Mus musculus: one gene and its partner. The protein of the gene in region 1 interacts with the protein of each later gene in a pairwise test. Links are inferred from orthologs where the notes say so. Each region holds a gene or a part of one and is shown on either strand. Other genes may lie near its edges. The genes, in order: Ralbp1 and Cep57.

Region 1 (15,375 bases):
TGCAGATCAGCAATCGGGTCCTGTACGTGCTTTTCACACATGTGCAAGAGCTCTTTGGCACCGTGGTCCTGAAGCAAGTAACAAGACCTCTGCGCTGGTCCAACATGGCCACGATGCCCACACTGCCAGAGACCCAAGCAGGCATCAAGGAGGAGATCAGGAGACAGGTGTGTGCTGCCCTGCCTGCCCCTGCCCCTGCCCCTGCCCCTGCCCCTGCCCCTGCCCCTGCCCCTGCCCCTGCCCTTCTCTCTCCTCAGCCCTCCCTGCCTGCTTCTGTGCTGCCCACAAAGGGCTGTGGAATGGAGGTGGTCAGCCCTAGCTTATGGAGTAGTGTGCAGTTCCTGTGTACAGTCCTCCGCCTCTTGTGTGCTGAAGTTGTGGGACCACACCCAGTTTTGTGCAGTGCTGAGGATGGAACCCAGGGCCTTATGCAAGTGTCTACCCACTGAGCTCTGCCCTTGTCCTGGGAGCATGTTCTTCAGGGCACATTTCCAGCTGTCCTAGTTCATATTGTGTGAGTGAGCTGCCGTGTTAGAAATAGCAATAGCATAGGGTTTTAAACTGTAAGAATTAGTTTCAAATTTCCACTCTGCTCATCTTCTTTTGACATATATATGAGTACACTCCAGACGAGAGCATCAGATCCCATTACAGATGGTTGTTGTGCATCCAGTGCTCTTAACCTCTGTGCCATCTCCTCAGCCCTCTGCTCATCCTTGACATGCTAATGTAAGGCAAATTGTTCAACCTCCTTAAACCTTGGTATTCTCATTTTAGAATGGATCAACTCAGGGAATGAATGTGGGGAATAATGCATGGGAAGGACTCAGCCCATAGCCAGGATCTCAAACATGTTTGCTTTTCTGGACAAAGTGCAACACGTTACCCATCCTGTTTTACAGCTAAGATACTGTGACATAATTCCTAGACTATGTAACCAAGATTAGCTCAAGCATGGAGCTTTTCCACTGTACTACTTTGGTATCTAGAAGAAACCCAGCAAATGTGTGTGTGTGAACACGCACAAGTGTGTCAGGGGAGGCAGAGAGCCTGAGACTGACTGGTAAGAAACTCAAGACCGAGTAGAACCTTGAGAACGCTGGTTGCGTTGCATGACTATTACCACAGGCCTGTTTTCCTTGTTGGCTGAGTTCTACTTACCAGTTGCTGTGAGGAGAGAAGGAAGAGCAAAGATATGGGCTAATTACTACTGAACCTCCAAAAATAAGGGACTGAGGTCGCTGTTGCTGTGCAGATCGAGAGCTGGGGGTCTTCATCTGAGAAACTGCAGGTGCTGCTGTCAGATAACAAGACCAGTGGACACCATGTATCCTTTTGTTATCTAGGAGTTCCTTTTGAATTGTTTACATCGAGATCTGCAGGGCGGGATAAAGGACTTATCTAAAGAAGAAAGATTATGGGAAGTACAGAGGATTCTGACTGCCCTCAAGAGAAAGCTGAGGGAAGCTAAAAGACAAGTGAGTTATTCTCTTACATCTTGTGTCTAATAAACCTACAGGAAGTGTGGATGAGCCTTCTGTACACTGCTGTAAGATATTCTTTTAAAAGTAGAACATACCTGTCTGTTGATGCTAAATTCTCTGGTGGGAAATTTATTCACACAAATGTTTCCTGCTTTGTGTTATTCATACTTTAGTGTGGTATAAATCAAATATTTCATTAAGTTTAGAAAGACTTTTTGTTTTTTAATTACAAAGGTGATCTTGTTATTTCCTGCCTGGTTTGTGTCTGTGGACAGAGCTGTAAGAGTGAGAGACACTGCTGAGAAGTTTGAGTTTTGAATGGAAATGCAGGGCTGGAAGGCCCAGGACGGATTCTGCTTTGCAGTCACTGGAGGGAAGAACCGTGTGGCCCTGCTGCTTTGTTGGGAGTGCACAAGGCCCACTTGTGGTTTTGTGCTACTTTAGTGTGTGAAGCTGAGTCTGGATTCAGTTTCCCAGTCACATCAAAGCTAAAATCCACACCTCTGAAAGGTCGTACAAGCCACATGCAGACCCAGCAGCAGATTGAGTAGCACAGCCTGCGGACACTAGTTAACACCTCTGGGACCTGGAGAGTGGAGCTGTGGGTCATTGTGAGAAGACAACACCTCAGGCCTTTTGCTTCAAGGATACGGCACTTGTTGAGAGCACAAGCCTGAGATCCTTGTAGCTGCACACAGTTTTCAATCTGGGAGGGAACCTTTCCTTTTGTTTTTCTCTCCAGCTCACTAAACTGTCAATCTTTTGTTTCCTCTGTCTCATGGACTCTTTTTGTTGTTGTTGTTGTTTGTTTGTTTTAATAAGATCTCATGTGGGCCAGTAGTCTCAAGTTTGTTCTATAGCCAAGGTGACCTTGAACTCTGGATCCTGCTGCCTCTGTCTCCCACATGCTGGATTATAGGCATGGGCCACCATGCTTGGCTTTGGATGTGTGCCTAAGTTTCCCAGGGCAGATTGCAGTTGTTGATCTAATTGCGTTGTCCAGCAGCCCTTATGTGAAGAGTCCGGGACATAGATGGATGTTTGGCTTTTGTGTCTCTTCGTTATGTGTGTCTGTGTTGAATAAAAGGACTCTAGCTGTGGAAACGGCTTAGTTGCTTAGTGCTTGCTTTTGCAAAGATAAGTACCAGAATTCAGTCCATAGCACTCGCGTGTTATGGCTTATACCTGTAATCTCAGCACTGGGAAGGCAGACAGGAGGTCCCTGAGCTTGAAGGCCAGATAGTCTAGAGGTCAAGGTTAAGTGAGAGACCTTGACTCAAAAAAAAAAAAAAAGTTTGAGAATGGATTAAGAATGACACCCAACAAAGACTTCTACACACGTGCACACAAATGTGCATACAAGTACATGACTATACTTGTTTGTGAGCACACACATACATATATCAGAGGCAGTGTGGTTGTATGACAAGGGACAGCTATCTTCTCTTTTTCCTCTTACCAATTGTATTCTCTCCCTGACCATTCCCTCTCCTTGATGACTTATTTTGTAACTACATGCTCAGGTTCCTTCATGCTGGCTTCTCTTTTGAGGGAGAAATTACTTAAAGAAGTATCATTCAGTGGATTAGTGACTGAAAATAAGAAAAATATAGCACCAGTTTAACCCTGATATCATCTTGGCACTTTCCCAAAAATTAACCATGTAATTATCAATCGTATAGTGCAGAAATTTCACTCAGCCATTATCCTCTAAGAGAAGCAGCCACAACCCATAAGCCTTCACAGAACATTTGCAGACTGTTCATAACAGCTAAAGCAGCAGCCCCAGAGCCCTGCAGCTGGTGAGAGGGTATAAAGTTAGGATGCATTCATTCCAGCCTCCCCATCTTCCCTCTGCCCTCACTACCTGTATCTCACTGGTGCGTGTTCACCCTCTGGGTGGTTCACACTCATTCACACACACACACACACACACATACACACCTCAGGAACAAACAGTTCCAGAGTCCTCCTTAACTCTTGCCCTGGGTCTCTGGAGGTTTCTGCCCCACGTTGGGCACCATCTGACCAAGCCAGCTCAGTCAGTCAACAAGTTCTCCAGGGCAAGAGCAAGGAGTAAAAAGAAAAAAGACAATTAGACAACATTGCAGCATGACCCCAACCAGCTCTGAGACTGAGGTGGGTTTATTTTTTACCAATCTGCTTTTATACCATTTTAATTACATGCAAGTAATTAGGTCAGTTCTAGGTTAAGGAAAAAGCAAGACAATAAACACAAATAGGCGAGGAACAAGCAAGGCAATAAACAAAGCCCCGGGATCGAAGTTTCTAGGCCTTATCAGGATGACCAAGATATCTGAGCCTACTTCCCTGTCCTAGTCCAAAGTCACATTCTTGCTTAAGCCTACTTCTTTGTTCTAGCCTAAAATCAGATTCCTGCCTGGACTTCCTTTCCTGTCCTAGCCCAAAAGTAGATTCCTACCTGAGCCTGCTTCCTTGTCCTGACCCAAAATTAGATTCCTGCCTGAAACCTACCTCCCTGTCCTGACCCCAATGTCAGATTTCTGCCAAGCAGCTCCAAAAGCTCTCCACAGTTCACACACTGGTTGTCACTGAGCAACTACTCACACCAGCATAACAGACAGAAGCATCTTAAAGCCAAGTATAAAGCTAGAGAGAAATGACCTGTTGAGCCAGTTCATCTGAGACCCGAGAGAGAAGCTGTTAGGATTGAGAGCAGGTCTGTGGTGCTGGGCACCAACAGATGGAGCAAGGGCAATGTTTCCTAACAGGGTGGTGGTGGTTACTTGACTATGTGTATTTGGTAAAATTAGTTACATTATGAAATTGACACCCAGTAGCTCCCTTCAAGACATCTCATGCAGTCAGGATTAAGGGAGCATATTCATCAGAAATAAGCATTTTTCATAGTGTAGCCACAGACCGAGATAACCATGTCATGGTCTTTTCTTACTTTAAAATGTTTATTCTTTGTGTGTGCGTGTGCATGTGGGTATGGACATGCAGTGGCACGAGTGTGGAAGTCAGAGAACAACTTGCCAGAGTCAGTTCTCTGCATTGTGTGAGTCCTAGGGAAGGCTTCTTGATACCAAGTGTCTGCCACGGGGCCACCTTGCAGTCTCGAACCACATCATAGTCTTTTATGGTTTGATTTGGTTTTTTCTTTTTGAGATGGGGTCTTTCTGTTGTCCTGGGTGTCCTGGAATTTACTATGGCCTTGAACTTCAAGCTAGCCTTGAACTCACATAGCTCCTCCTACCTCTGCCTCCTGAGTGCTGGGATTAAAGGCGGGTACCACCATCCCTGCTCTTACCTACAGTATATTCTAAGCCTAGTTAGCAAATGTCCGGTCATCATTACAGACAGTTCCCTACTGCTGCTGGGGTTTTCTTCATTTCTGTAATTTAAGAGGACCATTTGTTGATTGTGTGTTACATGTAGGCCGAACAGTTCATCATGTGTTGTCTTTGACAGGAGTGTGAAACCAAGATTGCACAGGAGATAGCTAGTCTTTCAAAAGAGGATGTTTCCAAAGAAGAAATGAATGAAAACGAAGAAGTTATAAATATCCTTCTTGCCCAGGCAAGCTATACCTTTTGATTTCTAAAGGGATTTATTGGTCATTTTTCAAATAGAAGCACAACTATAGACTTTTTAAAACCAAAATTGTAATGAACTCCAAAGAAGTTGTTCCTGTTCTGTGGCCCTACCCTTGTGCTGTGTGTGCTGAAATGTTAAGTGTGGAGGGAGAAAGAAGCTGCCTTCTGTTTAGCTTCCTCGTTTCTGTAAGTCGACATAGAAGTATTGTGGCATGTTCCTGATTTACAAGAACAGAAACAAAAACTCTGAGGAGAGAGAAGCCCCAGATGATTTTCTTAGAGTTTCCCACCTCAGCTTTCTTGGAGTATAACTTCATCCATATATGCTCTGAGGTAAACGACGAGGGTCTGTGTTTGAGCATGGAGAAGTGGCCTCTCTCACTCGGGAACTTTTCAGTGGTTCCTGGACTGTGCCCACAGTGCCCACGGTGCCCACGGTGCCCCTTGTTTGGAAGGAGTTGCTGGTGCTCTTGCCTCCAAGGCATCTTCTCTCTACTGTTTGCTCTAGACCCGAGAGCCCTAGCTGGAGTGCAGGCAGGGCGCTCTCCACATCACTGCTCTCAAGCAGTTTAGGAATGGTTAACCTGTCAAGAGTTCTTACTTTGATCTGAAGGGCGTGGCTGGGGACAGTGAGGGAGATCCTGTAACCTTTCCTTCTGTCTGTTCTGCCCCACACCTGACACTGGTACCAGCCACACATGCATCTCTTGGGTCCTGTTCCTAGTGATGCTGAAAAGTCACTGTGACCCTGAATCCTGAGAGACAGGAAGCCAAAGCTGATGAGTTTTAGATCATGTTTATTTGTGCATATGTATTGCACATACATGCATTCAGATCCCCCCTGGGCCAGAAGAAGGTGTTGGACCTCCCTCCAACAGATGGTTGTGAGTCCTTGATGTGGCTGCTGGGAGCCAGATGTGGGTCCTCTGGAAGAAGAGCAAGTGCTCGTATCCGCCGAGCAGTCTCTTCGGCCGCGAGCAAGGCAAAGCAGATGTTGCCTTTGGGTCCTCTGCCGGGGTGTAGGGGGCTCATGGGAGCCTTGCAGAAGCTACAGCTGGCCCTTGTGTGCACTTTGTTGTTAAGAAGGGTCTAGACCTTCTCTCAACGTGACTTGGTGTAGCTTTTCTTGATTCTGAGACAGTGGCATGGTTTTGTTGTAGTAACTTGTGTTCAGCACCGAGCAGGGTGACAGGAGAGGCTCTGGAGAGGTGGCATTTCCTCTAGCAGAGCTCAGACAGGTGCCACCCATTGTCATTGTTTCAGGAGAATGAAATCCTGACAGAACAGGAGGAGCTCCTGGCCATGGAGCAGTTCCTGCGTCGTCAGATCGCCTCAGAGAAAGAAGAGATCGACCGCCTCCGAGCTGAAATTGCGGAGATCCAGAGGTACAGGGGCCTCGGACTGGAAGCTTCCAGCCGGGTTGTGCTGTATATGAGCAGAGCTGAGCTAAAAGTTCAGTGGTTTTCATCTTCCTTGTGCATGGAGCCGTTAGCAGCCCCTCCTGTTGTGGTGACTCCAGCCATTACATTGTTTCCTTGCTACTTCATAACTGTAACTTTGTTACCATTATGAGTTGTAAGGTAAATACTGATATGCAGATGGTGGCCTTAGGCGACCCCTGGGAAAGGGTTGTTTGGCATCCATAGAGCTTGTGACCCACAGGTTGAGAACCACTGTTTTAGACATTCCTGGAAAGAACTGGGTTTCTGAAATCAGTCACTTTAAGCTCCTTACTGGGTCTTAGGCAGCACTGGGTCAGGTCGATGCTCAGGCGTGGGTGGGTCTTAGCCGGCCTCGGAGTTCACTGTAGTGCTGCCTCGTCTCCACACAGCCGTCAGCAGCATGGCCGCAGTGAGACGGAGGAGTACTCGTCCGACAGCGAGAGTGAGAGCGAGGACGAGGAGGAGCTGCAGCTCATCCTGGAGGACCTGCAGCGGCAGAACGAGGAGTTAGAAGTGAGTGGGGGACAGCCTCCAGAGGGTCTTGGGACCACAAACCACCTATTTTCTCACTGGAAACTTACGGTGGAGAGGAATTCAAGAACACTTGTTTTTTAAGATTTACTTTATTTAGATTTATTTTATGTATATGAGAAGTACACTGCAGCAGTCTTCAGACACCACAAGAGGGCATCAGATCCCATTACAGATGGTCACAAGCCACCGTGTGGTTGCTGAGAATTGAACTCAGGACCTCTGGAAGAGCAGTCACTGCTCTTAACCGCTGAGCCATCTCTCCAGCCCTCAAGGGCATTGTTAGCAGGATGAAATGTGTGCTCTAGGCTGTCTGGAGTGGGGCGTTTTCCCCTGACCTTGGTTACAAGTGAGCCTAAAAGAGGTGAGAGGCGCCTGGCCACTGTCCTAAGTCGCCTTGCAGTGGCTTTCTTGTAGTCTGTGGGGTACCACAGAGGAGTGGGTGTGACAGGATGCCTAGGAAGCTGGACTGAGAGGGAGATGCTGGCCTAAGCGGGGTTCTCTTTTCATCCTGAATAAACATTGTCTTCTGTAAGGACGACTAGGTAAACAGACACCTTTGCTTCATTCATGTTCACTGAACTGCCTGCCAGGCAAGTGCGCATGGGGTCAAGCACAGAGGCTGGGCGCGGTGGCTCAGGAGGCAAAGAGGGGCATTTCTGAGTTGGAGGCCAGTTTGGTCTACAGAGTGAGTCCAGGACAGTTGGGGCTTGAAAAACAACAGAAAGATAGAAAAACTACTGTGGCTGGAAAGATGGCTGAGCAGTTAGGAGCACTGGCTGTTCTTCCAGAAGACCCAGGTTCATTTCCTAGCACCCACATGGCAGCTCTTAACTGTCTAACTCTGGTTCTAAGGGACTCAACACACTCACACAGACATAAATAAAAATAATATTTTAAGGATTGCCCAGGACTCTGCTATCCACTGTGTGATAGGATCCAGGGACATGGCCCCACTGGTGAAGGGGCTGCAGTGAGGCTGAGGCCCGGAGTTAAAGCCAACTCCCTTCACGTGCACACACCTGTGTCACACACGCACCTGTACCCCTTAAGGGATCCCTGCACTCAGGAGGCAGAGGCGCACAGAGCTCTGAGTTTGAGGCCAGCCTGGTCTACAGAGTTGAGACCTTGTTTTGGAAAACATAAGAAAGGAAGTTAGTGTGAGTGAGACGGGTTGCTGGGAATTCTGGCATTTAGAAGACACATTGGCAACCTGGTTTGATCTCCATTTTCCTGAACAGGAACAAATGGCAGAATCGGGAGTGTTCTGTTGTGCACGTGGCGTAGGGCCTGCTCGAGCCAAAGCGGCTCCCCTGCATCTCGCCGTGTTCTCAGTTGGGGAGGGACGGGTCAGGGCTTCCCCAGTGTCACACCGAGCGAGCAGTGGGACTGGCACCTCTGCTCACCTCACTGAACCAAAGTCGAGTTGTGGGCACAGCTGCTTAGGATGCGGGGAAATCCCGAGGAAGAAGGGTGTTCCGATGGCTGGGGCGGTTGCAGGAGCTCGGGGTGAGCTACCCGTGAGTTCCTGCTGAATGAGTGAGTCCCCAGCATTTAAGCAGCTGTGGTTCCCACACTCCTCAAGGAGCACAATTCAGATGTGGTCAGTAAAGAGAGACTTTGACTTGGGAAGAGTCTCAGCTTTTACCCAGCCCTGGCCCCTGTCCTCACTGCTCTGGTGACACATCGTTTCCTAAATGTGTTTCTCTTTGTAACTCAGAGTCCATACTCAGGCATTCAGAGTGATGCTTGTACCCTAGCCACATATCCATCTTCTTATCTAATGCTGCACCAGCCAGGCTGGCTAGAATAGAACTAGATCTTTCTCAGGATGGCTTGCAGCCTGTGCTCTGCCTAGATTCCTTGTGCCCTTAAGTGGTAACTGCCCTTTCTGTCATTCTTTAAGATAAAGAACAATCACTTGAACCAAGCAGTCCATGAGGAGCGGGAGGCCATCATCGAGCTCCGAGTGCAGCTCCGGCTGCTCCAGATGCAGCGAGCCAAGTCTGAGCAGCAGCCGCAGGAGGAGGAGGAGCCCGAGAGGCGAGGGGGCATAGGCCCACCGCCCTGTGACGGTGTCCTCGAGGTGCGGGTAGCCAAGGAGCAGGCGAAGGCCTCGCCCAGCAAAGACCGGAAGGAGACGCCCATCTGAGCTGCGGGCCGGGCCCTGTGCATCTTACTGTGAGTGTGAGTGAGCCGCCTGCCTGCTGGACACTCTGTAAAGGCTCGCTCTCAGAGACGTCCCCTCTCACACACGTCTGACTCCGTGTCAGGCTCAGGGCCTGGGAGGCTGAAGCAGTGGACACACGGGGGGCTTGCAGGGAACACAGGCATTTCCAGATAGTGTCAGCTTATTTGAAAAATAATTTTCTTTGTTAAAAATAACTATTTTAACCTTTGAGTGGCTTCTTTTTAAACCAAAAATTCTTTTCTTTGGCTTTTTTTTTTTAAATCACAGCAGAATCAGGCTCTCTTTCTTATCAAAGGGTAGGAACCAAATCAGGTCACTTCTGCGCCTGCCTCGTGGACGCTCGTGGTCTCCCCAGCCCTGCAGGGTCTCTGGCCACTCTTGTTTGTGCCTTCCACACCTTTTGGTGCAGATTGTTCAGTGGGGAGCTGCCTCATATTCTCTGACTGGCCAGAAAGGCTCTCGCTGGGGTTCCCTGCACCACGTTGCTTTTCCACTTCCGAGTTGGGTCTGTCTGTGTGAGTCAGGACGGCCCAGGTTGGTGGCAGACAGAAGTTACCTGTGCAGCCTGCCACCAGCCTGGGCAGTGCAAGCCACTCACTCACTGCCAGGGATCAGCAAAGGCCTCTTCTCTGAGGTGGTCGGAGGTGACCACCTTGACTCTGAGGCGTTGCACAGGAAGCTTCTCAAACCAGAGCCCTTCTCCACACTGACCTTCCAAGAAAACCACAGTGACTTCAGCTGCTAGCTTGGGCTAGGATACACACCTCTGCCAGGATAAGCCATGTAAATGCTCTCACGCAGAACGTTCACCTTTCCGCGTCATCTCAAGGGGCTGCTATAAGGACTCTGACAGAACCGAGCCGAACCGGTAGCTGTGACTGACCCCACCTGGTGTTTGCTTCTAACTCAGATGACTGCTCCCCGAGTCTGGGAGGCCTGCCTCTTAGGCAGCCAGATCTCACTGTCAGATGAGTGGCCCCCAGGGAGGTCCCCTGTGGCTCTGAAGACAAATCCCACACTCTAAAGTGAGCGACAAACCCACAGGAGGGCTCTGGTCTCCTCCTAGTTAGTATTTATTTCAGCGCCTGTCTTTTGTGCGGTTTTTTGTTCGCCTCTGCCTATTGCACTGTTGTGACTTGTTGGCCATTATTTGATTTTTGTACGGAAAAAAAGCTTTGTTATAGAAATCAGCATACTATTTTTTTAAATCTGGAGAGAAGATATTATGGTGACTGGAAATATGGTCAGGTGTCAAATATAAATGTACAAACGCCTTGCTGCATCCCGTCCGGTGTACAACATCCACTTTATATTTGCTGGCAATATTGAAGAATTCTTTTTGTTTGTGTAAACTCTAATTTCTATCAAGGTATCATGGGTTTTTAAAATTAGTATTTCATTACAAATGTCTCGATGTTGGTTAACTAATTTTTGCCAGGACCATTATTGATCAAGGAAATAAATTCAACAGCCATTTGAGAAAAAAAAAAAAAAAAGGCTTCTATTGTCCACTCTTCTCTTTGAAATAATTGCATAGCCAGCATCTGGCACGAAGCTGGTGGAGATGCCCAAGGTGGAGAGCGAGTGGGAAGCCTTATTCCACCTCGCTCCTCGCCCATGCTGTGTGTGTGCTCCTGCTGTGGTCTCTTGGCCCTCTGCCCACCGTGCTTGCTGCTGACTGGGAGGGTTTGCTCAGACTGTGTGCAGTTCCTGAACCTGACAGTTTCCTGGTGCTGTTGGGAAAGCAAGCTCTGCCTTCTAGGTCAAGTCCAGAAGGCTTGGCCCAGTTGTTAGAGGTTACAGAGGTTTGCATTTTACATGTGAAATGAGGACTTAGAGCAGCTAGCATGCTAGAGATGTATGACAAACATCTGAATCTGTAGCTAGTAGTTTAACTGCACCACAGAATTTATGTTGCTTTACAGAAGGTTCCAGGTACCCTGCTGTGACATCTTAACTTCAGGCAGGGATCTGGAAATGAGGGCCCGAAGAGGATCAGCTCCCAAGCGGGGACTCATGGCTCTCACCGTGCTCTTCTCTGTAGGCGGCTCTGTACTGAACAACACCGGGCATGAAGTCCTGGGTATAGACCCTGGTGTCTATGTACAGAGCCAGGAGTGCTGGGAGCACCTGTAATTCTACCCTGGTGGAAATGAGGATCCTGTAAATGCTAGTTAGCTGCTCTAGGGGAGTCAGTGTGCTCTGCGTTCAGAGGCCAGCCCTGTCTCCAAAAGTAAAGCATAGTGATAGAGGACACAGATATCAGCTTTCTCATTTCACATGCCATGTGTGCTCATGCAGGCCTGTACACACACACACACACACACACACACACACACACACACACACACACAATATATACCCTGGCTGGTGACACACACACACACACGCACACACACACACAATATATACCCTGGCTGGTGACACACACACACACACACACACACACACACACACACACAATATACCCTGGCTGGTGACACACACACACACACACACACACACACACAATATATACCCTGGCTGGTGACACACACACACACACAATATATACCCTGGCTGGTGACACACACACACACACACACACACACACACACACACACACAATATATATACCCTGGCTGGTGACACACACACACACACACACACACACACAATATATACCCTGGCTGGTGACACACACACACACACACACACACACACACAATATCACACACACACACACAATATCACACACACACACACACACACACACACAATATATACCCTGGCTGGTGACACACACACACACACGCACACACACACACACAATATATACCCTGGCTGGTGAATCCAGCTGAAGACTGGGCTTTCTGGAACCTTCCTCCAGGTCGTTTTGCTAATGTTTTATTCGTCTGAGTATGATCTAAGCTTAGTTGATATTCTTCAGTAGAAACAAATCAAAGACCCCTATCAACTAGGTAGAGAGATTGTGATAAGATTACACATTTGTAAGATGATGCATAATTAGTAAATGGTTCTATACTGGACTTCAGGAGACCCAGGAAGTAAGGACCAAGTAGCAGGGTCCTTAAATTCCCATATACAGGCTCCCTCTGCAGAGCAGTAAGGTGCTGCTGCTGTGTCCACGTCCCCCACTGCCCAATTCCAGCCTGGATGCTTGTCCCCTCTAATCTGGAGTTTTGCCACCATTCAATTAGTACGACCCATGAAAAGTTGTTCTAGTTTGACAGAGGAAAGAGGAATAGCTTCATTTGCAGTGAGCTGTAGTTAATTTTTAAAACTGCTTCACGTCTGCTCAGTACCATGTCCTCTGGTGATGTCTTCAGCAAGGTGCAGGCTCCTGCCTCTCTTCAGGTGTGTATGTACTTCAGGCGAAGGGGCCCTGGGTGTCTGGTAGTGTTGGGGCTTGGGCTTCTCAACTGTGAGAAACGGCTTTCAGGGAGGCACAGGAAATACATAGCTTGCATGCTTCACCCCCAGTAAGCAATTTTATCCTGTAGGGCTTCATTTCTCATTGACAAAACAAAAATCCTCATTTCAAAAAGGAAGGTTTATTAGATTTAATCCCTAGTGTAGGGCTTTAAGGCATAGACGTTTCCTGAGGACATAATCTGCATATTGTCATGAAGCGCCAGGGCACAGGCAAGACTGCATCAACAGTTTATTTTGTGTGTTACTGTATGTCTGTTGTATGTCTATTGTAGGTAAGTCTATTACTGTATGTATGGTGTGTGGAGGCCAGAGGCTGACATTGGGTGTCTTTTCTTGATTGTTAATTAGTATTAAATATCTTTTTACATAGTAAATATATCTTATTTTTATGGGATTTCATATATAACATACTTTGATCCTATCACCTCATCCCTCTGTGTGTCTGTCCTTTTGTCGGTTTAAGAAGAGACTGTCAGACAGATGTCTTAGTCCTCTGGCTTAGACTATCCTCTTCCCCCGCTCCTGCTCACCAGCCTTCAGTGTACAAATCGTATTGCAGATATATTGATTGGATCAAACACCTCAGTCCATCTCTGCATATCACCAGCTGTGGCTTTCTGTAATCTCTGCCTGCTGCAAAAAAGAAGCTTTTGACAATCTGTGGTTATGGGGATGAGTTTAGAATGACCCTGGTGAGGGAAGTGGCTGCAGGCCATCTGGGCTCCAGGTCCTCATCAGGCATACGTGGTACCTGGCTGAGTTCATAGAGCTAGGCATGAATTCTCTACTAAGTGGGCCTTAAGTCCAACAAGGCGACTGCTGGCTACCCATAGGATGTACAAGCCATTACTTCAACATGGTCACTAATGTATTACAGCAAGATGGTACTGATAATAGCATTGCTGTGAGCGGCTTGCATGGTTCCATCCTGAGAGCCAGTCCCCAGCGAGAAGGCTTCCAGGTTAAATCCTGTGTTGGAAGTGTGTGGTTGCCTTCAGCAGTAGGGTTTTGTCTTTTTTTTCCTGGACGGCATAAACGACAACAACAAGGCCTGTATCGTTTGGGGATCTCTTGGACTGCCCACTGGCCAGCAACTCTAAAGGAGGCTCCCTGTGCCCAGCACTGAGATGATGTCTGTTAGCTGTTCTGTGTATTTTGGAGGAAGTGTCACTAATTGGCAAAACTTCCACTGAACTACATATGAACTTACATGTTTGTATGTTAACATAGATAATATACATAAGGTTTTCTGACAAAGTCTTTAGCTTAGCTATCCTAAAACTCAGAGATCCACCTGCCTCTGCCTCCTGAGTGCTGAGCGGCAAAGGTGCACACCACAGCTGGCTCTGTAATTTTGAGTCATGGTGCAATGTTGTCTGTAGCGTTTCAGTAGCCTTAGTGTTCGCTACCCCTTCTCCCTCTCCTGCAGGCAGGTCTCTATCCATCTAGTGTTTCCCACAACACCATCCCGTTTCTCTGGTATCTGATTACTCCAGGTATATTTGCATCTGAAGATTCGGAGCTACCATCTACAAATAAGAAAACAAATATTGTGTTTGTTTTCTTTGGGGGGGGCAGGAGCTCAGTATACTACTTTCTAGTTTTGCCCACTTAACCTGCAAGTTTAATGCTTTCATTATTTACAGTGGAATAGTATTCCATTGAGTATATGAACCTTACTATTCCTCCTGTTTCACATTGATTCGTCGGGACTGAGCTTCTAGAATCCTGCTTCCTTGCCCCTCCTCCCCCACCCCTGGGCACACATCCCTGCTGCCTAGCATTTTACATGAACGTGACCCAGGGCCAAGCTGACACTTGCCCAGCCTTTTCCAAATGGCGGCACTTATGGTCACTACAGCTTGAGACGAGAAACTAGTGTCTTTCCAATTACCCTGGGACTGGGGGTTCCAGCATAGTCAGGACAGGTGGATATGGAGGAAGAGATTCTCCCTGGGCTATATATGCTCATCCTCCTGGCTGCTGTCTGGGGCTGTAGGCTGTAGACCGCAGGTAGGTAGATCTCAAAATTCCAGCTCTAAGTAGAGAAAGCATTAAAGAGCGCTGGGGCCATGCTGCCTACTGCCTGCCAAGCAGCCAGACGAGCCAACTTTTGTCTTTGACAAAAGCTGCCAATTTTACAATTGTTGCTCCCCTGGGATAGCTGCTCTATTTGAAGTTCTAGGGGGTTAAGAAAATCTAAAGTGTTGGTATCATGGTTAACTCCCAAAGCTTCAGGAAAAAGGTTATGTACCAAAGAAATGGCCATTCCCTGGGCAACCACGCAAGCAAGCAGGAACTCTAGTTCCGGGGTGGGATAAGGGAGTAGGAGGCAGTCAGCAAAAGGACACAGGCGACAGTCTCTGTTGCCTCTTAAGTCAGAAACTGCAAATACTTGTAAACAAAGGGGAGAGAGACGGGCTGGGGAGAGGTGAGCAAGCTGCCTCTGAAGAATATGGCTTCTCTGCAAGGAACAGAAGTGGGGAGGGGCTAAAGTGTTACTAAAGATCCTACAAGACCACATGGTGACCAGGGAGTTAAAATATTGCAGACCAAATTCTCTTGTGCTCCTCTTAGTTTCTCTGAAAACCATTCCTTGTTCACTGTCACTATCAAAACTCCTCACAATGAATTCTCAGCAAACTATGAGTTTCCGGTAGGACGCACACCAAGCTTGTGGCTAGGGAACCTGAGTCCTGCAGCAGAGGTCA
Region 2 (15,871 bases), on another chromosome or scaffold:
ATTCACATACTGTATGCTAAAAGCATGAGCTTCTCTTAAGTCAAGATTAAACAGTGCTTAACATGATTACAAATAGATACTGTCTAAAAACTGTAAACGTGTACATTTTACAATACCCACGTTCTCATTCTTTATTCCAAAATTTCATTTACTTCAGTAACAACTGTTTATATAGTTTTTCTGAAGACATTGTGACATATTTCATGGATAACTGACTTAAGTGAATTTATGATTGATCAATGTCTAAAATACCAAAGCAAAACAAAGTCTTCTTGAAAACAGTACATTTAATGGTCATCTGGAGAAGGGAGAGTAGTGGTCACTTCATGCTGTGGGAAGATTTAAAAAACAAGACTTCAAGCACTGACTATGGGGACTATCTCATATTCTGAATTTTCAAACCCAATTTACATATATACCTAGTTTAAAAAACACACCCATGAGTAAAAAACTGGTCATTTGTTTACAAAGTGCAGTGAATGAGTACAGCAAATTCAAAGACAGTGAGGCTTCTCTGCCGCAGAACTCCATCTCCATCAGTTGTGCTACATAGCACAATAGACTGTAATGAAGCTTGGCCCCTAACACCTGCCAGTAATGGCAGCTTAGCAAGCATGAGACCTGGAAAGTCTGCTCATGTCCAGTACGTACATCGTTTATGACCAGTGAGGTACATCATTTATGACCTGGTGTCAGTAATCCCAACACAGATTACTGCTCTGCAGTGAATTCTGTATGGTCTGCATGTCCTTCAGTAACTGAAGATTTTTCCTGCTTTTTTCTCCAGGTCTCTGTTTGGCCAGATCCTTCTTACTTGCGGTCCTTGGGACTCCAGATGAACGACCGCTGCTGTTCCCTTCTTCATCAAGAGTCTTTTTGTTAGCTTTTAATTCCTTCTTCTGCTTATCTATGTTTTGTTTCTCCAGCTGACCAAATAATCAAAACAGGGAAAAAATGAATTCAATAAAAACATTTTCTTTTAGCTTTGTTTTTGATACGAGGTCTTGCTATGTTCAGTCTTAAACTCTTGATTCTTCTGCCTCAACTTCTTAAGTACACCATTGACTTAAATAATCTTCCTCTAACACTCAAGTGATAGATTCTAGGTGGGTTTTTTTAAAAGCACATAGATCTGCAGAAGTTATAAATCACATATGTAAAATACACAGCCAGGTAAATAAGTGCTATATAAATACTGTAAAAGTCTCCTTAAGGAGAGAGGGACAGGCTTCGAATTCTCCCTGCTTGACCAGACTGTAAACTCTAACAGCTACTAGTTAGTTGTCAGTCCAGCACCAACAACCACACAGGATCTCCTTGGGCAGGTTATTTCATTTACTGAGATAGTCACAGTTACTTCACCTATAAAATGGGTTTTAAGGAAATGAAGTGAGATGGCATTCTCAATATACTTGATTCTGTGCCAGTGAAATAGTTCTTCCACATCACACAGCATTTGGAAGCTTGAGAGGGATTTTTTACTTCTAAAACCTACTTCAGAGTTGTCCACTTCTACCCAGACTCCAATTGCTGTCAACCCAGGAGCTGGACTCTACCCCTGTTCTACCCCTATTTCACAGCAATCTCAAATACAGTCTGTTTCTCTAGATGAGAACACCAAGTAGGCTTATTAAATGTGAGTAACCCTTTTCCTTTTAGTCATTATTTAGTATGAGCAAACATACTACTTTTTTTTACATATTTAATCTGACTTTGAAAATTAAAAATTCTAGCTGTATTTTTAGACAATTTAGTCAAACTAAACCACTTAGTTTTGTTCATAAAGCCAAGGATATTAAATATAGTCAGTAAAGACACATCTTATATGAAATATAAGAACTAACACTTCTTAACACAGACTGTTAGGAAAATCTCCAGAAACAGCTTAAGCATCATCAATTAATATACATGAAGGGGGAAAAAACGACAGAAGGGCAGGAGTCACCTGGGCTTGGTATTTTCGAACTTTAGTTATCTGATTGGCCTTCGCTTCCATTCTTCCCACTAATGCCTCCAATTCACACTCCAGGTTGTCTTTTAGTTCCACAGTTGGTGATTCCTGTATGAGTTTAGTAAGCTGCTGATGATCACTGCATACAAACCACAAGGGAGACTACCTTCAGTTCCTCATTTTTAAGTTATGTCCTTTATATTTCACTATGGGATTCACCACTCTTAAAAAATAACTCCTTTTAACAAACTGCTGCTCTATACATGGGTGGCTCATAACCACCTGTGACTTCAGCTCCAGGGGCTCTGATGCCCTCTCCTGGCCTCCTTGGGGACCTGCACACATGTGATATATACATAAATAAAAACAAAGGTTTACAAAAATGAAGATACATGCAAGTATTCTTAATCCCAGACAAATTTGGGTCCATCCAGGGTTGCAGGCTAATATAAACTTTTATCTGCTTCTCCCATCAGCATCACTTATAAAGTAAATCCTCTGGGACACTGGCTTTCAAACGCTGTCCTAACTCATTAGTTATATTTGGATAACCCTCAATACTACTGAGCTTTTACCTAAGCCTTGGCATTTGACATCTAACAAAATAGAAAGGGAGGCTTGTTTAACTCCCAGCCAGTGGGCTGGTGTAATGGCTATGTTCAACATCAGTGAATAAAATTAGGATTAAAAATCCAAGCTGCTAGAAAAAAATGAGATTTTAGAACTAAATGTAATTTTAAATTCAAAAAGTCAAAACTCACAAGCTCATTTGCCCAAATTCATCCTGTAAAGTCTGCAAGACATCCGAAAGTTCTTCATTAACACTGCTGGAAGGAGGCACCACTGACTTCTTACTCTTACTAACTCGTGAGCAAGCTTGCTTTGCCAAGGGAACACTGTTAACAACTCGATCATTGCACAGGGCTTTACTGTGGTGTTTCATCAGATGCAAGACATGCTGAACATTGGCTACCACGGCATGGCTGGGACTGGTGGACTAAAGAGAAAAGTAAATCAAGCAAATAATGTCCTTGATTGCCAGGTTCTAGTTTGTAACCCGAGTAAGAGTTCATCTCTAAATCCTAAGGCATAAATGTACTATACTGTGGCAAATTGGCAACTAGCCATCCACCTGTATCAAACACTTGGCTGATGTACTAACGTCTTCAGTTAGTAATGAACACCCTGCTGGGGATGTGGCTGAGTTGGCAGGTACTTAAGGAGCATGTAAGAGTAAGAGGCCCTTCTTTGGTCCCCAGCATCATATAAATTGTTGCACACCTGTAATTCCAGCACTTAAGAAGGCAGGAGGACCAGAAATTATTTATCCTGTGCTATAGTGGAGTTCAAGACCACATCTAAAATCAAACAACCCAACTGACCTTCTTGCCTCTTGTAGGAAGCGCTAACGTTTATCTGCCACAACATAAAAATACAATAAAACTTCATAGCTTTCTTGAACTTGTTTCCAATAGGAAATAACAATTCCAATAGTTGGCTGGGCTTGTTTAAGCTCCATAAGTCACCAGCAGACTTAACTTGTTTAAAATGCAGATTTAGGGGAATAACTTAAGACCTAATGTGCTTGTTGTTTAAAAATGTTTCTGTATTATTTGTTAATTTGTCTTGGCTAATTGTGGTGGGGAAGAATCATACACGCCAAACTCAAATGAGGTGATCCTAGGAATGAAAAGGTGGCCCATGACCATCAGAAAGAGTGAATACTCATTACTTGCCAGTAAAACACACACACACACACACACACACACACACACTCTCTCTCTCTCTCTCTCTCTCTCTCTCTCTCTCTCTAATGGCCAATGTGTATACTTTAATATGCAATGAACAGATTTTAAAAAGTTTTGTTACTGTTAGAAGCTCAAGTAAACAATTGTGTTTTCTTAAACTTTTGGAATAACACTTCTAAAGAATATATAAAACAACTTCACATTAAAGAGCCTTGTCTTGCCCTTTGTGATTAAAGGCTTCAATGACAATTTGCCAAGACAACAAAATGGGTGGAAAGGACTCTAGACAAGACTGGACAATACAAAGATGAACCAATTGTCAAATGGAATAGGTAAATGTATAATTACAGATTTAAGCATACCATATAGGGACACCATGATGGTTGCTGTACAAGTGTTACGATTTAAGTTCTATCTACAGAACCCATGGTAGAGAGAAATCCCATCAGGTTGTATCCTGATCTTCACATGTACAGGGTCAAAGTGCCCCAACTCCCCATTTCTTCACATTGAAAACAAAGTTTGTAATAATCACAGAAATCAAAAAGTAAGTTTGTGTAAAAAATAACTTCACAACTGTACTTATAAAGGCTTATACAAAGACTCAAGAAAAAAACCTTAGGCTGTGCCTTCTACAAGGTTTTACTAGAACTACATATGGTGGCTCACATCTATAATTCTAGCACTCCCAAAGCCGATGCAGGATTTTTCTTTTAATGTCCCCTAAAATGTGTTTTCTGAAGACTGAAATAAGGTCTGAAAAAATGTCTCAACAGTTAAGAACACTGACTGCTCTTTCAATGGAATTCCACGTTCAATTCCCAGCACCCACATGGCAGGTTACTCTAAGCTATAACTCTAGTCCCGGGGGACCCAACACCCTCTTCTGGCCCCCGTGAGTACTAAAACAGACAGGACACACAGACAGGCAAAACACCCATATCCATGTTTAACAGGAAATAAAAAAAGCTAAAGATACTGAAAATATTTTAAACATAAAAACAATAGCTACAACTCACCGTTCCAGCAACAAAAGGCATATCACCTAAGCACAATCTGTAATGTGGCTGTGCACCAAAATAGGTCCTAGAACCTTTCTGGATGGAGAAAAAAGAAAATCATTTTATTTTATTTTGGTGAGCTAATCCAAGACTCCAGCTCACTGTGGAACTACTGGGTACCTTGGTGTACCACTCTTTTTTTTCCTGCAGAAACCAGGCTTCAAGAAGTTACTTGGCCCAGAGTTTAATAAGATAAAACTCATTATGGAAAAAGCATGGCAACCATAGGTCTGGGAATGGGTGTGTATTCATCACACTGTACCATCAGTCAAGAAGTAAAGATAGAGGACAGGAAAAGGGTCAGGCTAAGAACCTCAAGGCCTACTTTCCAGTGATTTAATAGGGGACGTTTTATATTCAAACCACACTTGTTTATATTGGGATCGTATAGTGCTGGCTGAACAACCTCGTTTTACTTGAAGGCTAAGGAGGTTGTGGGGAATACTAACAAAACAGATGCAAGAATTAAGTAGAGGAACAAAGCATTTTAAGAGAAAGGTAATGAATACAGGCTGAATATTTTTAGTATTTTTATGATCTTCTATGGTTCCCAATTTTCATATAGGTCCTCAGAACCAAGGTAAGAATTCATGAGTAAATCTTACTTATCTTCACCTTTGAACATGGAAACTAAGAATGAGAGTTACCTCCTAAGGTTCTAATACCACACAGCTTTGAGTACTTTTTACACAAATTTTTACACAAAATTGGTACTCTGACTGATTGTTTTCATACCTTTTCTGGTGGTTTTGACTTCTTTTTTTTTATTTTTCTAGTGCTGGTTGAAACACATGAAGTAGTCTTATCTTCAAAAATAAGTCTATTTGCTTCTAGACCACTCTGTAACTAGAAAAAAATAGCATAGAGTTAATGATGTAAAATAAAAGCTACAACTCACATACGAGGCACCATTTAAGTCTGTACAATACAGTAGTAATCATTTCAATGAGACAGCATGGATGTACTGTATGTCTTTAGCCTCTCATTTATGTGAACTGCTAAGCCACAGTTGGCTATGTACTGCCTGGAAGCACTGTTTCACTACTGGTAGGTAGTATGCAAATTCTAGTTCAGAAATTAAATGGAATGTACACAGCTCCATTTAATGAATGAATGACAGCATGCTATGTTCACTTTTAAAAGCATGATTACCGTAAAAGTAGACCCAAAGCAACTCAAGAGCAAAATAGATTCCTTCCTGTTTAATGCTCAAAAGTAGCAATAATTATTTCAGCAATCGTTATCTTTTTAGTAGAATTTCTACACTCCTCTGGGCTGGAGAGACTGATGGGCTTAGGAGCACTTTCTGCTGCTCCCATCAGAGAAAATGTTCCCAGCAACCCCCACATGGTAGCTTTTAACCATTTACTCCCAGGTTAAATGATCAAGAGGGTCCAGTACCTCTGGCCTCTGCAAGCATTGTACACATGTGGCACATATACAAAACATGCAGGCAAAACTCCCAAATACTTAAAGCAAATCTTGGGGGGGGTGGAGGGAGACGCAAATTCCTTCAAACTCTCTGTCAATGGCCATTTTGTCTCCCTATATAACAAAAGCCTGGAGTTTGGTAAAAATTCCAACCAGCAGATTTTTTTCTCTAAAGTGTTTACAATTTCTACACGAGGCAAAGCTCCCCAGAAGTTATGACTGAACTTTAGGGAACAGCAGAAGTAATGAATGAAAAACAAAGAACACCGAGCACCCCCTCCCGTCTCATGCATGCTTAGGACAGGGTCTCCCGGCAATGGCATGCCAGCTCTCCACCCTCGGGAGCATGGCAGCCTTGCTCATACTTTATTAATAGTTTATACGAGACCTAACTCCACAGGAAATCATCCTTACAGTGTCAAAAAGTGTCAGCTCTAACAGAAACCCCTTAAAAGTCACTTTTCGATTCTATCTTATCTATCTAGTTTTCCTTGCTGATTTCTTTTATGTATGCCTGAATTTTAAAGTACTTTTATTATCATTTCTCGTTTGAGTTCACTAGCACTATAAAACCCAGGCTCTAGATGGCTAAATAATCTGTTTTGGATTATACAAACCGGAACCAACAAGATACAGAAACGCATCTGCCTTCCACTACCATGGCATTCACCATCACAACTCAAACTTGAACAATTCATCAATCAATGAGTCTGTGAAAATTTCTATTTGGCATATAAGGGCTATACACTAAAACTGAATAAAAAATTACCCATGCATATGCATGGTTACATTTAAGGAACAGAAACACAGTAAAATAGTTATCTCTAAAGTTGGAAGAAATTCTCTAAAAATCAAAACTGTTTAAATGGCCATTAACCCAACAAGTACACAGAGAGTAAATTTACCAATCTTATCAATTTTAATATAAAAGAATCAATGACTCAAAGAAGCTCCAGAAAAAAAACTGCAATGTTTCTATTCCTACAACCGCATCTAGACACAGTGCCACAGACTCAACTATCAAGGCTCTACCAGTAACTTCAGATATCAGAACCTGCTTCTATGGGTTACTATGATGAAAGTTACATACATTGTAATAATCTTAAAGGGTTGGAAAAGAGAGATTATCTGGAAGATATCTGAACAAGTAATCAGAGAAAAGTCTCTAGCCAAATCATAAAACAATTTTATCTTGTAGAGTCTAAGCAGTACTTTATTATTCTTGCAGTATCTTTGATAATGCAGTTCTGGTTGGAATACATAAACTGATGCTTTCAATCTACACAATTCTACCTCCAGTGGCTGGCCACAGATTTCAAAAGTAGGAGAGAGTAGAGTCCGTTCTTTTGCTAGGGCAGGCTGCTAGCTTAACAAGTCTGTCCTGGTATGTTAACAGTTTTGTTGCTGCAGTGCTGAGGACTGAACCAAGTGTCTTCTGAATGAATGCCAGGCAAGCGTTCTACCATTCAACTTTACCTCCAACCCAAGGCATACTTTATACTGGGTACTGAACGAGCTAGTAGTAGCTCATCAGACCTTAGCTTTACGTGACTACTACTCTGTCTGACCTGTTTTTACCTCGCACGTACATTCTAATTTACATGTATGGATGTTTTGCCTGCGTTTATGTATGTACATGTGCCTGGTGGCCAGGGGTTAGAAGAGTCAGACACTATGGAACTGGAGCTGAAGATGAGTGTGAGCCACATGTGGGTTGTGAAGACAACAAAATGTTCTAATCCTCTGCAATCCCTCCGGCTCCAACCTCAAAGGTTTTTAAAATACTAATTCAGACTCTGCAATTTGAAACATCGAAAGAACTGCTCAAATTTTACTTTGTAGATTACATTCCTGATTTCCATTCCTAAACTATCTGAGTCTCCACATGAATGTGCTGTGCTTGTGTGGGACTGTCCTCCATTAAAGCACTGGTCCCTCCTTGCACTCACCTCTGCTGCCCGGGCCTGCATCCGCTTCCTTTCCTGCTCTTCTTCACGGAGTTTGGACTCCAACTCCTGCATCTTTTTCTAGCAATAACAATATCAAAACAGGAACGGTTAAAAGTATCTTTTTGTAGAATTTTAAGGACAGTTAAAATAAGCATGTTAATCCAGGTGTGGTGGCACACTCCTTTAATCCCAGCACTTGGGAGGCAGAGGCAGGCAGATTTCTGAGTTCGAGGCCAGCCTGGTCTACAGAGTGAGTTCCAGGACAGCCAGGGCTACACAGAGAAACCCTGTCTCGAAAAACCAAACCAAACCAACAACAACAACAAAAATCATGTCAGTTCATGCCACTAGTGGTTCAGGCCTTGATAATATCCCTACCACTTGCCTAATAGTGTTCTATTAGATCAACTAACAGTAATTAGTGAGGTAGGTGTGAGTTAAGTGGCCAAACTCTGAAAGAAAATCTACAACTGAAATACACAGGTTGTACAAAGGTAAAGACTACATAAAGACAAATCAAGATCTTCACTCAGTAGTATTAATTATCTCCAGGGTAAAACACAGAAATAAAATTAGTTCAGAAAAAAATTACATGATGCCAGATTTAAGTATCAAAAAACACTTTACCTTTCAGTTTTCAAAAAAAAAAAAGAACTACCTATCCTCAGCCACCAAGACTGAGGAATCTCAGCATTACTTTTCAACTGATCTTTTTCTTTTCAAAGAATCTATGTGTGAGAAAGACCTTTACGTTATAAATACCCATGTTTATGCAAACAGTGACAGCCACAGCATTCTACATCAGTAGGTAAAAGTCATGTTACTGACTTACTTCTGCAAGGGCCTGCATGGCGGTGAGTTTGTTGTATTCCTGTTCAAGAAGATCCAGTTTTTCCAGCTGGCTCTGAACATGGGTTTGATCATGCTGCCGTTCTCTTTCTAGAGAAACCTGAGGAACAGCATCAAGGTAAGTTGCTAACTTTACACTATAATATGATAACTGTAAACTGTAGGCTCTGCACACAGCCACATCATACTATATGTAATTTGCCTGTCCTTTCAGACTTGCTGATACGGAAAGAAGTTCTAGGAATAGAACATTAAGACCTCAAGGGTATCAATGATCTCCGTGTCTCATTTTGTTTGTGTGCCACGCACGGCATGCCTTTGAAGGTCGGAGGACATCATATTCAAGCTGGTTCCCTCTTTTTGCCATGTGGGTCAGAGGGATCAAATTTGTTCTTCAGGCCTCACTGCAAATACCTTCACCCACTAAACTATCTCATCAGCCTTGGAATATAATTCTCAACATACAGTATTTTACCTAGTATATGCTTTAATATAAGGAAAATATCCTTATACTCTAGACTAAGGAGAATTTATTAGACATACAAACTATGCAAATACACAAGTACTTCTAGTCAGTTGGGTCCTACTAAGCAACCTCTTAACAGATATGAGAACGTGTATGCATTTATTTACTTTGAATACAGATATATTCTTTTTTCCTCCAAATGTAGGGTCTGATTTGGAAAGACTGTCCATATACTTAAGGAATGAATCTCCAAAAAAAGAAAAAAAAAAGGGCAAATACACTAAATGGTTATATTTGTAAAAACCCAACATTAAGAATCTGAGTCTGCCATTTCTGCACATGTCCATGACAATGGGGAATTACACAAGAGAAATTTCTAATCAAACTTTGCATAGTAAAGTTAAATTTTTCATATGAAAAGGATGTTTAAAAAATATAATGGACACTGATGTTGTAATTGTCCTCTACAAATGTAGCAAGTTACTTAAAGACAAAGACTTTGATGTAACAAAAGAGAAGTATTTTGTTAAAATGTACAATTGGGCAATAGCTCATTTGGTAGAGTGCTTACCTAGCGCAGAGTATAATGTATAACACCATGTATAATGCGCTCCAGGTGATCCCTGCACAGCAGAAATGAGCCAGCCTAGGCATATGAGATCCTCCTTCAATAACCAAATTACTTATAAGGTATTTTTTTTAATTGCAAAGAATTCTACAAAAAACAGTGGATCTCAGTGGTACATATGGTTATTTGCTTATTAATAATGCAGACTCCAAGACATTAACATGATTATCTTTCAAACAAGCACAAGTCTACCAAGTACAAGAGTCATAATCAATAGAGCCAATCAAGCCACGATCTACTCCACTGAGGCCAAGAACTTACAGTATAATAACAGTGCCATCAGGCCTCTGTCACCATTCTTGATTTCATCTGAGAGGTGCCGTACCTGCTTTTCTAACACAGATGTCCTCTCCATTTCTGCATGCTTTATCATATTTCGCATGTATTCCAATTGTTTTTCTAGAAGATTACATTTATTTTCTGCAGCTACCAACTGGGATGCCAGTTCTAAAATGAATACATACAAAAAAGTAGTAATTAGTTAAGACAGTCTTGTCCCAACAGCTTGTAAGCAGGAAGTGAACTTGCAGTAAATTCATGGGGCATAGGTAAGGTTCACGGTAGAGTGCCTGCTCGGTATGCCAGAGTACCACAAAAGAAAACAGCAGCCCTCCCGGCCTTCAGCCTCTTCCCTTTCAGTACTCCTCAAAACCTTTCCGGACGACTTTAGGATCTTTCTTACTTGCGTCAAATATGCCACACACTGCCAGTAAGCACTATGCACGACGTCACTTGCTCCTCACAATACACATGATTATGATGTAATTCCTTACCAGTGACCACTACAAAATACCAATGTGGAATTGTGAACTAACTTACAGTATTTGGATAGATTTTAGTTTCCTTTATAATTAAACACACCTTGATTGTGCTTTGATTCTTCATTCTTTGAGTTCTCCCTCTCTTGGATCTGTTCATCCAATACTTTCTTGTACTCAATGGTTTCCCTAGACAAGGTTTTCACACTTTCTTCTGCCTGAATCCTTTCCAGTTCCAGGCGTCGAATCTTATCTTGAAGATTCTTAAGAGCAGAAAATATGGCTGACAAATATAAAAAGCATACCGCACCTTAAGTTAGCTATGCACACAGAGAAGTTAACCAAGAAAGGAAATTTTGTGTTGGCAGATTCTGTACCCCAGGATGACCTCAAAAATCACAGTAACCCTGCCTGAGCCTTCGAAACGCTGGGCTAGAGGTATGAGCCAGAGCCCAGCTCTGAAAAGAAAGCTGATGTAAGCCAAGCAGCAGAGCACTTTATTCACAAAGCATTTCCTGCTAAAGTCATTTCAAGGCATCATCTGAATTCTTTAAAGTTCTACTAGTTACTCAAGTAAAAATTAAACAAGAACCATCACTGTGTTAAAACCAAAAACCTTGGCTAATTATACATAAATTAACAGCTGTTCTAAGGTACTTTGAGTAAAAAAAAAGCCCCCATAGGCTTCTATTCTGGTCAACAGGGAGTGGTCCTACTTGTTGGAAGAAATGTCACTAGGGGTGGGCTCTGAGGTTTCAGAAGCCTAAACTAGGCCCAGTCTCTCTCTCTTCCCGCTACGGGTTCTACTGCTGTGCACAGACACTATAACCAAGGCAACTCTTATAGAACAGTCCCAAAGAACATCAATGTTGTCAACCCCTTGGCCTCTAGATGATGCACTGAATTCAGAGCCACTATGGCTGTCCACATAAGACCCTAAAAAAAGTGTCCTAACATTGTCTCCTGGAAGGTGAGGCTCATAGAGCTTACCAAACAGCTCAGGAGGCAATATAGAAGGCCCTCTTCCTAGAGATTCCTCAGAGGTTGATAATTACTGTCAGTTCAGGGGAGACTCTTCATTAGTCACCTGTAAATTGCCCATGTTCATGTGAAGAAGCTCAATAAACTTTTACTTCATCAAACTCATCTTTAATAGAATCATCTTGTGGTGGTTTGAATATGCTTGTCCCAAGGAGGAGCACTATTAGAGTTGTGGTCTGACTGGAGTAGGTGTGGCCTTATTGAAGGAAGAGTGCTACTTTGGGGGTAGGCTTGAGACCCTCCTCCTAGCGGCCTGGAAGCAAGTCTTCACCTGGAAGTCAGTCTCCTGTTTACCTTTGGAACAAGATGTACAACTCTCAGCTTATCTTAGGGTCTTAGTGCTGTGAACAAGCACCATGACCAACACAAGTCTTATAAATGACAACATTTAATTGGGGCTGGCTTACAGGTTCAGAGGTTCAGTCCATTATCATCAAGGCAGGAGCATGGTAGCATCCAGGCAGGCATGGTGCAGGAGGAGCTGAGAGTTCTACATCTTCATCTGAAGGTTGCTAGCAGAATACCGGCTTCTAGGCAGCTCCAATGAGGGTCTCAAAGCCCACACCCACAGTGACACACCTACTCGAACAAAGCCACAACTTCTAATATTGCCATTCCCTTGGCCAAGCATATAAACAGCTCCTCTAGTGCCACACCTGCCTAGACACTGCCATGTTTCCTGACATGATAGTGGACTGAACCACAAAAAAGAAAGCTAGTCCCAATTAAATGCTGTCCTTTGGACAAGAGTTGCCTTGGTCATGGTGTCTCTTTCCAGCAATGGAAACCCTAACTAAGACTATCTCTTTGGTCTGTTGTTGATCCGTCTCTGAGGCAAGCAGACATTTATTTGTTCATGTATCCCCAGCAACAAGGACACAATAGATATCACAGTCTTTTTGTTATATGAACACACAAGTATATAAGTATGCGCATGGGGGTCAAATATGCACTTGGTTACCGACTTCAGGTAACACATGTTTGTTCAGCCAACGTCTTTCACAACTGAGGCTCACTGATTAAAGCTATGTTGGCTGAACAGTGAGCTCCAGAGATCTAGCTATCTGCCTCTGCCACAAAGCATGGGAACAGAAACTCTAACCCTAACCATAAAGGTCCTAGGTTAAAAATAAATAAAGTATTGGTTTCGTTTATTCTTTGACACCTTTTTTAGGTCCTATTTACCACTTCCTCTCACACTCTCCAGGAACACATACATCCACTCAATGTCTGTCCTCTTTAGAGAAATAGAACGCAGAGTCCAAGTAGTGCTTTCTACAAGATGACCCTTACTTTTTACAAAGGTATTTATTCACTTAATGGGTATGGATGTTTTGCCTGTATATATTTTTCTGTGTACCCTGTGCATAAAACTAGTGTCAGATTCCTTAGGACTAGAGCAACAAACAGTTGTGAATTGCCATGAGTGCTGGGAATTGAACTCAGGTCTTCTTGAAGAGCAGCTAATGCTCTTAACTCCTGAGCCATCTCTCTGGCCCCTACCTGAGACTTTGGTTTCTGACTGATTCTGAAGATGACAGACTAGTGATAAGTGTCTCAAAGTACTTTAGGTTCCATGATTTGGTGAATAATGTTCAGCAGTCTACATGAAAAGCACTCAAAAGTAAAGGGGAAACTTATACTGTTCTAATATAAAAATAACATGTCATAGGTAAGAAGTTTCAACTAATGGGTGAACAAATAGCATTTACTTTGTTACAGTTGATTACCTCTGCTGTTGCTTTCCGGATAGGCAAATGTGGGCTTATTTGGGGAGCGTCTCAGATCACTGTTAAGGAAAGGCTTATCAGGTGGATACAATACATATGGAGACGAAGAATGACGAACCATATTTCCATTAGACCTTGATGGTTCAGCTAGGACGCTCTGAAAAACAAAATACTGTAATTATCTTTCAAACATTTAAACCAAATACTCATGACTGAGAACCCAACCACTATTTATTGTCAAGATATATAATTTTTAGAATTAAATGTTTACCTATTTATACATGATCATACAACCTAAATACAAATATTTAGGCAAGTTAAATCTTTGTTTAGATCAGAAACAGATACAAATTGCTGAATCACTCAATCATCGGTAAAGAACACAATGTTTTTATCTATTACTTGGGAATTTCACAGCGTGCACTCCCGTCACTCACTTCGTCACTCACTTCCAAGTCCTATGATGCCAACCCCCCCCCCCCCAACCCTCCTTGTGAACTGCCTAAAAACCTATTCACTGGAGTATGGTCAAATTCCCAGTGACCAGACTCTTAAAGAAAACTGAGTCTTTCTCCACCTGCACCCTTGCCAGAAGCCATCAATTGTGAAGGGCTATACTTCAGAGTCTTTAATCACAATTTTTGAGGTTTTTTTTTGTTGTTCTTTTTGTTTGTTTTGTTTTCAAGACAGGGTTTCTCTGTGTAGTCCTGGCTGTTCTGGAACTCACTTTGTAGACCAGGCTGGCCTTGAACTCAGAAATCCACCTGCCTCTGCCTCCCAAGTGCTGTGATTAAAGGTGTGTGCCACCACTGCCTGGCTCAATTTTTAAGCATTCTTTTCAATTACTTCTTGTTTAGGTTGTTACTTTGGGAGTAGGGGGTGAGTTTTCTGGAAGCCTTCTATGTCCCCCTTTCTGAACTGTGTATCTGTAGTCCTCAATGCCACTACAAAAGGAACTTCCCTTCCCTGTAGTGTCAGCATGAGCACGGATCATGGACTTCTACATGGCTTCTGGCAAGAGCATGAACCATGAATATCATCAAGGATTCCAGCATCTGCACACTCCAAGAACCTTAGCATGGTCTCCAATGACAGTACAAAGAAATCATGGCCACCTGTCAAAGCACAAGCCACAGGCACCATCATAACCCTCAGCTGCAGCAAACCAAGGACAACACATGACCCAGTGGGTCAACATGGTCCACAGAGGTCCATACAGTCCATGGCACAGCTCAGCCCCCACACACCATCTGCATGGCTTTAGGCAGCAGCACAGATGAGACTGTACAGCCTTCAGTGGTAGCACAGTCCATGGACATCAACAAAGCCCTCCAGCTTCAGTGGGACTAGTGCCCTAGACAGAGCCTCAGGTGGCTTCACAGGTCACTCACATCAATATGGCCCCGGTTGGCAGTATGGGCTCTGGGCAGCAGCATAGAACACTGACATCTAAATGGCCCTTGATTGTAACATCTGCATGACACTAGGTTCAGCCCCCCCCCCCCATCCTGAACCCAGGCATGGTCCTCTTGTGGCAGCTTAGCCCACAGACACCAGCATGTTCTTTTCTTAAAGAATTTATATTTAGTTCCTCAAAGGGGGAAACAATTGTAAAACATTCAGGCTTATGAGATATTCTCATATAAAACTATTTCTTCACATACACCATCTGTCATGAATTTGTCAAATTTGACACTATGCTCTACATGATATAAATTTATCATAGTATACCTCTGAATGTTAACTGGAATTTTAGTAGTAGTTGTTGAGTTTATAGTGTTTAGACATTTAGGAAAGAAGGAAGTAATGGAGATTCTAGACTGCCAGCTGTTCAAAATTCTCACATACTCATTTGCTCTTTCCAGAATGTCATACCAAATTAGGATTTTCAATCTTGTATTAGTGTAGTCTGTGTAGGTACAAAAGAAAGAAGAGTATTCATAACAATAAACCAAGTCCTGGAATAAGCAGAACTATCCAAATACCTGTGTGAGAATAAAAGTTTGTTTTGAGGACTGGAGAGATGGCTCAGTGGTTAAGAGTACTGACTGTTCTTCCAGAGGTCCTGAGTTCAAATCCCAGCGACCCCATGGTGGCTCACAACCATCTGTAATGAGATCTGACGCCCTCTTCTGGGGTGTCTGAAGACAGCTACAGTGTACTTAGTTGTAATAATAAATAAACCTTAAAAAAATTGTGTTGAAGGTAACCTCAAAAACAGTTAAGTTTTCACTTCTTAAAATATTAAAATATGGTCAA

The links.
Region 2: the proteins of Ralbp1 (region 1) and Cep57 interact in binary tests that used the Homo sapiens proteins (3 or more experiments, as listed by UniProt). The two-hybrid records come from large-scale screens. The link is inferred for Mus musculus from reciprocal best matches to the Homo sapiens genes RALBP1 and CEP57.

What each region holds. Positions count from the first base shown.
Region 1 is NC_000083.6:65,843,765-65,859,139, reverse strand, and holds the end of Ralbp1 (ralA-binding protein 1), read left to right. Parts: intron 1-5; coding exon 6-167; intron 168-1,346; coding exon 1,347-1,478; intron 1,479-4,940; coding exon 4,941-5,048; intron 5,049-6,328; coding exon 6,329-6,450; intron 6,451-6,896; coding exon 6,897-7,020; intron 7,021-8,944; coding exon 8,945-9,190; 3' UTR 9,191-10,725; downstream 10,726-15,375. UniProt on the Homo sapiens protein: Multifunctional protein that functions as a downstream effector of RALA and RALB. As a GTPase-activating protein/GAP can inactivate CDC42 and RAC1 by stimulating their GTPase activity.
Region 2 is NC_000075.6:13,807,915-13,823,785, forward strand, and holds part of Cep57 (centrosomal protein of 57 kDa), read right to left. Parts: intron 13,770-15,871; coding exon 13,613-13,769; intron 11,125-13,612; coding exon 10,945-11,124; intron 10,531-10,944; coding exon 10,409-10,530; intron 9,090-10,408; coding exon 8,973-9,089; intron 8,219-8,972; coding exon 8,141-8,218; intron 5,607-8,140; coding exon 5,496-5,606; intron 4,797-5,495; coding exon 4,719-4,796; intron 2,949-4,718; coding exon 2,713-2,948; intron 2,091-2,712; coding exon 1,946-2,090; intron 983-1,945; exon of another isoform or gene 927-982; coding exon 693-926; 3' UTR 1-692. UniProt on the Homo sapiens protein: Centrosomal protein which may be required for microtubule attachment to centrosomes. May act by forming ring-like structures around microtubules. Mediates nuclear translocation and mitogenic activity of the internalized growth factor FGF2, but that of FGF1.